2 linked regions of the Arabidopsis thaliana genome follow. The protein of the gene in region 1 binds, or shares a complex with, the protein of each later gene. Each region holds a gene or a part of one and is shown in the gene's direction. Other genes may lie near its edges.

Region 1 (3,849 bases):
AAGCTGATGATATGTGGATGTTAATTGGCTCTAGTTACTTGGATCTGTGAATAATTATTTGCTAATTTGGAGCATGTTCCTTTGAATTATCTTCTGATTGTCTAAGTATATTTGGAAATGTGTTTATATTCTCATTTGTGTGATCAGGTTACGCAGAGAAGAAGAACAGAACAAGGAATTATATAATCATTGGCTTGATCAATCTGAATTGCAGTTCATGGCGCTAAACCCTCAATTACTACCCAATGGGATGCCTGTTCCCTTTGTTAATGAAATGTTCGTCCTAGTCCGAGATGGTGTTGAGTTTGAAGTCGACAAGATCCCTGGGTTCGTGTTCCCTTCTCTCGTCACGCATGTTTTGGATCTCCTTAAGTGGTTTATTGATTTGATGATTATTGTTGGTCTCCATTTTAGTACCGTTTTGAGTCGGTTTAGATCCACTCATCTAGCATATGAACCATTAAGTTTACTTGTAAATAAGATAAGTCTCAGAAGTGAACAGACATATGAGCTCTGGGCTTTAAACACTTCCCTGATGTTCTTTCTTGTTGTATGATCCAGAGGGCATGGAGGTCATGTTAAGGCCAAGGGGGTGATTTACTTGTCTAATATACGGATGGTCTTTGTTTCAAGCAAGCCTGTTGACAACTTTGTTGCTTTTGACATGCCCCTGGTACAGTAACTTTATCTTATTTTTGTCTCTGATTTAGTTAATACATGGCACAAGTGTAGCTCTGTTAAATTTGGTTATGGAACTACATGCTACATATTAGCTTATGGATTATATGTTACTCTGTAGCTTTACATCCATGCCGAGAAATTTAATCAGCCAATATTTCACTGCAACAATATTGCTGGACAAGTGGAGCCTGTAAGTACAAACTTTCATGGAGAATTTATAGTTTCTTTCCTTGTAAGGAAACTATACATATTTACTTATTGGCATGTAACAAAATTTCCAGGTGGTGCCAGAAAATGAGCATAGAGCTCTATATTCAACACACAGTTTCAAGATCCTATTTAAGGAAGGTGGTTGTGGGACATTTGTTCCTCTCTTCTTGAATCTCATATCATCAGTGAGACAATACAACAGACAAATGCAACAAGCAGCAGAAGCAGCAGCGGCAGCTCCTCATGTTGATCCTCTTCAAGCCGCTCAGACACCTGTGGACGAAATGATGAGACATGCGTAAGTCCCATCAGAAATCAATCGGAAAGTTTTTTGATAGTAGTAAAAGCTGTTGTTCCTCATAAAATCTTGTGTGGTCGTCATTGTGTATGTGCAGGTACGTGGACCCTAATGATCCAACGAGGATATATCTGCAACAGCCATCAGGGGAATCTCAGTTGAGGCGTAGAGCTTACCATTCGGGTGCGGCGGAACATTGAGATACACGGAAAAAAAAAATACAAAGGCTATGAATACAGAAACAGCAACAGATTAGTGTTGCTAATAAGCAAAACGTGTTGTTTGTTTGTTTAAAGTTGAAAACTAAAAGTCTAAAACCATCTGTGTAAAGAAAGATGAGACTTGTTTGGTGTGTGGATGTATCTGGTAAAATTGGAGTCGTAATAATCATAAGTTTGGTTCATATATTGAACAAAATGTGGGTCGAAAACCCTGCCGGTTCGCCTGAACCATGAAAAGTCGGATTTGGCTGATCCGCACGCTCAATTTTCTTCAGCTAAATCGCGAATACTTGAGCTTGTAGTAAGTCGTGGCCACTAGTGGGACACACAAAACCACAAAACATATATTTTGCAAGCTAAAACCCAATGGACTAAGATTTGAGGTTCAGGGTTGGACCATAAAATTTGGAATGGATAATCGGATACTTTAGGTTGGGTTGGTAGTTTTCAATATTGAAATTGGGTTTTTGGACCTTTCCTTAGTTTTTGATTTAAAACAAAATTGTAAAAGAAAATGAAAATACGAAGGTGGCATTCTAGCTTTATTTTCCAGAGAAAGTGGCTTTCCAGCCATTTATTAAAAAAAACAAAGACCAGGGTGTTTTTTTTCTGACAAAACAAATTGTAACACTCACTAGGCATAGCATTCTAGTTAGTTCTGCAGAAATTTATAGCGACACTGGTCCAAATTAGGAGGAGCGAGAGCGAAGGTACGAGTGAGGATTTACAATTGTCGATCGTTTTCACCTAGAAACCCTAATTTCGGGGGCTCGCACGCCCTCTCTGATTAGAAGCGACTTCATTATCGGTCACTAGAATCTGCTGCTTCTTTTCTGGTTAGTGTTTAACCAAGCTCCGTTTTGTTTGCTCTTAATGGAATCAGAATTTCTATCATTCCTAGATTAGTTTCTGTGATGTATATCTCTGGTATTCGGATTCTTGTGCTGAGCTCAATTCATAAGCGGAGGATTTCTTAGCTTCGATAATTAGCCCTTTTCAAAATTTGCAGCTTTTTATGCGGTTTGTTCTTAAGATGATTGGTTCATTCAGTTTTGTTGTGAGATCTCTGACCTTCCTCTGTAGAAACTAGCATTGTCAGGAACATGGACACTAAGAAGAAATCTAAGGAACATGGCCTATACCGTATAGTCAATGCTATCGGTTATGCATTTGGAGCGGGAGCTGTTGGAGGTTCTGTATATCATTTCGTGAGAGGGGCATACAATTCCCCAATAGGTGCTCGATATGTTGGAGGAACACAAGCGGCTAGCATGAATGCTCCTCGCTTGGGAGGCACTTTTGCTGTATTTGGAGGATTGCTCTCAACATTTGACTATGCATTGGTGCGCATCAGGAAGAAGGAAGATCCATGGAACTCCATCGTAGCGGGTGCTGCTACAGGTGGAGTTCTGTCTATCCGAAAAGGGGTTGTTGCAGCTTCAACATCAGCGGTTATGTTTGGTTTTTTTTTGGCTGTACTCAACCCTCCGTTCGGGAGCAAGTAAGCTTTTTGGGTTGTCTTTGATGAGAATGTCATTTAGACTTTCATGATAATTGCCTTTTCGTTATCAATTCTTCAAAATTACTGTTTCATGGAAAGTTTAACAGATTTCGTGGTTGAGAATTTCTGATCATTTTTGTATAAACGTCATCAAGAACTAATTATTGCTATTCAAGTGTTCCTTTTTGAATAGTTTCTTTTAAGTAGATGAAATCTCAGGGGAAAAACATTTGGGAAGGGGAAGATGAGGGAATGAGTCAAAGATATTATTGAGCTCGACAGTCAAAAGTTAAATTATTCCCTGATTTTGATCATTCTGAAAAAAACTCCTTAGTTAAGTCCCAACTAGTGCACACACCAAATCAAGAACCAAATCCATTTCTTGTCAATAATATACACCAAAAAACAACTCAGGTGTACTGAGGCAGATATAATAAGCACAGCCTCAAGTAGATAGATCATCATTCTGGTTTCTCACTTATTTACATACAACCTTTGAAGGAGGATCTTCACCAGTCACCAACACGACCATATCCACTCAAAACCAAAACCGAGAGCCCCAAGAAACCCAAACAGGATCTTTAGATTACATGTTTTTGTCCCTAATTATATCCCTCAAATAAACTTTTTTTCTTTTAACAATCAGAGTTCCTTCTCTTTTGTATCCTAATTCTATTCACCTGGAGTAATAGAATTACAAGAAGAGAAACAAAAGAACAAAAAAAACAAACTGAAATCCCCACTCCAAACTTGGGGCAGGACTGTTTTTAGTTGTTCTGAGAAAAATTACCTGACAAGACTTTGTCACGACTGCCAAAACAGCTCATAATCCTTACTATACAACGAGCGGTCTTGTATCTCCAGGTTTGCTACATGTCGATTTATGAGCTGCGATTGCATTATCTTACACACGACCAGTCCTGCTGGGAATATCCACC
Region 2 (3,689 bases), on another chromosome or scaffold:
AAGTGACCAAATTTAAGTAAAATCAAGAGTTCTAACATTTTTTCAGATATGCATAGTGGACAGCTTCACGACAAGTATTATCATACTATAAAACGTCAAAGTACAAATAATTAGTAGTATAAGACTTTACATTTAGAACTCGGTGTTCTCATTTGAGAAGGACGAATCATCTAAGATTGCTGATAGTAGTAATAAGCCATTTGCACAAGTCAATGTAAGATAGAGTTTACACGTGCCAATAACATAACTATCCCTCCCACATATATAGATGATGTCTCTAATAATCTGTTAAGTAGTTTACAAAGCGAGCACATATAATTTTCTGATCTGTGCATAATAAATAGCAGAGAGAAATTTGTCAAACCTCAATGAAATGATAAATGGAACTGACATCAGATCCATTACCATCGGCTAAAGCAGAGAGAGCTTCAAATATCACCCCGTCATACCTGAAAATAGGGACATATCAGAAGTTTAGCAATACATGATGAAGATTATTACTCAGAGTTGATAGACTAGCATTTATGGAACTAGTCTCTCATCATACTTTCTGGCCTCAAGTATGAGAAATAGAGAACAAAGAAAGACAAACCTAGGAGCATTCTTTGTATTTTCATCAGGGATCAACTCAGAAGGTAAAGTACGCCGACCGGGAGGAGGTGGAATAGTAGGAATAGGCCGTGGAATAGTGACAGCATCATTTGCATCTGCAGCCGGAGTGTCGCCTTCCTCTTTGACTTTTGCTGGCCGTGCCTTATTAGTTAAACTTTGAGTACCAGGGGGAACACTCAAGTTACGCCACTTATCCTATTAAGTATTGAAACACACAAAATTTTCAAACTCTTCTTCATAAGACTACCACCAAGTAAAAGAAATCCATAGCAAAATGAAGGACAGTACTACTCTTTCCACCTCAAATCTCCAACTCAACCAAGCTAGCTTTAGGTATTGCACACTTGAATCAATAAAAAAAAAAACTTATAATCTATCCAAGGAATCTCTAATCCTATAACCAATGATAAGAGGCAACACTAATAAAACCTATTGCCAAAAGTTTTGATTTTTTATGGATCTTAAACTAAGCAGATACGACAGAGTACATAATGCACTCCGGGTTGGTCTCAAATTCGATGTCTAGGTTTAATATATGGTTCAACGAGAGTGATTTTAAAGAGGTGAGTGAAGAAAAGAGAAACCTTTAGGTCAATGTTGGAGCGATGGATGAGCTGATCAGCGAATTCTGGATCCCGGAGAATATTCTTCCACTTTCCAGGACCGTGCTTTCTGATTCCGGCGAGTAACGCCTCCTCTTCCTCCGCCGTCCACTTTAGTTTCTGGTTTCCCATCTAACCCTTGCGTGATTTACCTCGTGCTCTCTCTCTCTCTCCAAGACAATCGGCGTGTAAACGGAGTTAGACGCAGTCTCTTCGCCGTAGCTTTCGCCGGAGGTTTCGTTTATTTTTGGCTCTGCGCAGTTGTGTGACTGCGGGAGGAGGTTTCCAGTTTGCAAAACTTTTTCGATTATTTACTTCCGAATTTATGCTTTTTATTTTGTCTTCTATTTACGCTCTCGAAATTAAATCGAATTTTTTTTTTTGGCCTTTTGACTTAAATTAAAAACAAATAAGCTTTGTATTTGAATCCTTAATTATTTTATTTGAAGTTTAGTTCTCTAAATAAAAACTGATGACAAAAAAAATTCATAAAATTAGGTTCGTTCGTCGTAAAAATATTTCTGACATTATAAGAGAAACACCTGAAAATTCGAGGATGTTTGGTTGTCACGATGGATTGCAATTTTGCAAAGTAATTAAGTATGACTTTGAAAAGTCCAATGTTGAAGAGGTTAATTTTGTAAAAATTAAACTTATGGGGTCACATTCGAAATATCAGCAAATACAGTGTGTGGTGGTAAGAGAAAACCAACTTGGGTTTAAATAGAGAAAATAAAATAAATGGGGTTAAGTTCGAAATAAACGTAAACGCGAGTATTAAGCGAATCTGGTACTGCGCGTATCTGGAAACAACTGGACTGAGTCTTTCCCTAAAAACCCTAAACATAGATTTTTAGTTTAGTTTGGTTTCATTTCTCATTTCGGCAACCAAACCAAACATTCAGAGAGACACAACACAACCACATCATCACACGTTTCTCTCTCTCTCTTTCCTCTCCGTCGTCTCTCTCTCTCTAGCCACCACCAAAATCCTTAAAACCTAGACTTTTCTCTTCCATCGATGGCGGCTAATAACAGATCCGATCATGGGTCAGACGAAAACACAAGACTTTACAATCCTTACCAAAACTACGAAGTCCCAATCAACAAATCTCAGTACCTTTACAAGCTTCCTACCTCCCCTGAGTTTCTCTTCACGGAGGAGGCTTTAAGGCAACGTAGATCTTGGGGTGAGAATCTCACTTTCTACACCGGAACAGCTTACCTCGGTGGCTCCGTTGCCGGAGCTTCTGTTGGAGTCATCACTGGAGTCAAAAGCTTCGAATCTGGCGACACTACTAAGCTCAAAATCAACAGGATCTTGAACTCTTCTGGTCAAACTGGTCGAACTTGGGGTAATCGGATTGGTATCATTGGATTGGTTTACGCAGGGATCGAGAGTGGTATTGTGGCTGCCACGGATAGAGATGATGTTTGGACCAGTGTGGTGGCTGGTCTTGGAACCGGAGCTGTTTGTAGAGCGGCGAGAGGAGTGAGATCTGCAGCTGTAGCTGGTGCTCTTGGTGGACTTGCGGCTGGAGCTGTTGTAGCTGGGAAGCAAATTGTGAAGCGGTATGTGCCCATTTGAAGACTGCAAGAGTCTAATTGGCAGACTCTTTTTCGGGTCGTTGTTGAAATTTTTGATAGGGGAAATGGTGAGAATTTGATAGGTTTGGTATGTCTTGGAATCATAAAAATGAAAACTTTATTTGGTTTCTAGAGGTACAACAAGTCTGTATGTCAAGTCATAATGCAGTTTCACTTTGAAGAATAACCTGCAAACCTTTTTCTTATATTCATACTGATTAAATGTTTTGCCGATTGGTAATTTAATTTGTCATGAGTGTGTTTGTTCTAGTTAGTGTTTTATGTTTCTGTTTTTGATCAATGTTAACTCTTTCTTGATTCGTTGAGAAACTGATGTGTTGTATTACATTTGAAAATGAAGCTCTTCTCTCAAGTTTTTTCTTATCATTTTGTTAATTGGGATGGTGTAGTGTGTTCACATAATTGTATACCTCTGTTTATCTCATTGAGTACTAACCTGATATTTGATGGTGTTATTTTGTTACCTATTATATCCCCCTGGTTCTATTTCTCTGGACTGTTCTCTGCTCTTAGCTATTAATTTTGTCTCCAAGATTTCACAAGCTTATGATGATGGATCAGTCACTTTTGGTTTTGTGGTTTTTGGTTCTCAAGTCTCAGGCATATTGTGTAGCAAACCTTCTCTAAACTCTTACCGTCTCTAGACCTTATCAGCTGCTCTAAATGAAGAACAAATAGTGTCCTCTAATCTTTTTATTAAAGCCTTAAACTTTCAGTTTTGCAGCTTGCTTAGAATTTTTGTTTTGTTTCAGAAGATCATGTACCTGCAAAATGACATTTCGTCTGATTTCTTCATTCGAATGAGGGTCTTTACATCAATAAACAAGTCTTCTTTAAAGTGTAGAATTTTACATGAACAAAACTAAA

The links.
Region 2: TIM17-3 (region 1) and TIM23-2 share a complex: the UniProt entries of both Arabidopsis thaliana proteins name them as parts of the TIM17:23 complex.

The regions. Positions count from the first base shown.
Region 1 is NC_003076.8:3,759,246-3,763,094, forward strand, and holds TIM17-3 (translocase inner membrane subunit 17-3), read left to right. Parts: upstream 1-1,942; 5' UTR 1,943-2,246; intron 2,247-2,493; 5' UTR 2,494-2,513; coding exon 2,514-2,915; 3' UTR 2,916-3,101; downstream 3,102-3,849. Other genes in the region: AT5G11680 (classical AGP protein), read left to right, coding at 218-327, 562-673, 800-871, 963-1,189, 1,287-1,389; AT5G11700 (ephrin type-B receptor), read right to left, coding at 3,716-3,849. UniProt on the Arabidopsis thaliana protein: Essential component of the TIM17:23 complex, a complex that mediates the translocation of transit peptide-containing proteins across the mitochondrial inner membrane. Links the inner and outer membranes.
Region 2 is NC_003070.9:27,381,342-27,385,030, forward strand, and holds TIM23-2 (translocase inner membrane subunit 23-2), read left to right. Parts: upstream 1-2,023; 5' UTR 2,024-2,214; coding exon of another isoform or gene 2,215-2,235; coding exon 2,236-2,802; 3' UTR 2,803-3,183; downstream 3,184-3,689. Other genes in the region: AT1G72740 (Homeodomain-like/winged-helix DNA-binding family protein), read right to left, coding at 365-449, 593-807, 1,197-1,346; AT1G72755 (uncharacterized protein), read right to left, coding at 2,215-2,242, 2,440-2,477. UniProt on the Arabidopsis thaliana protein: Essential component of the TIM17:23 complex, a complex that mediates the translocation of transit peptide-containing proteins across the mitochondrial inner membrane. Links the inner and outer membranes.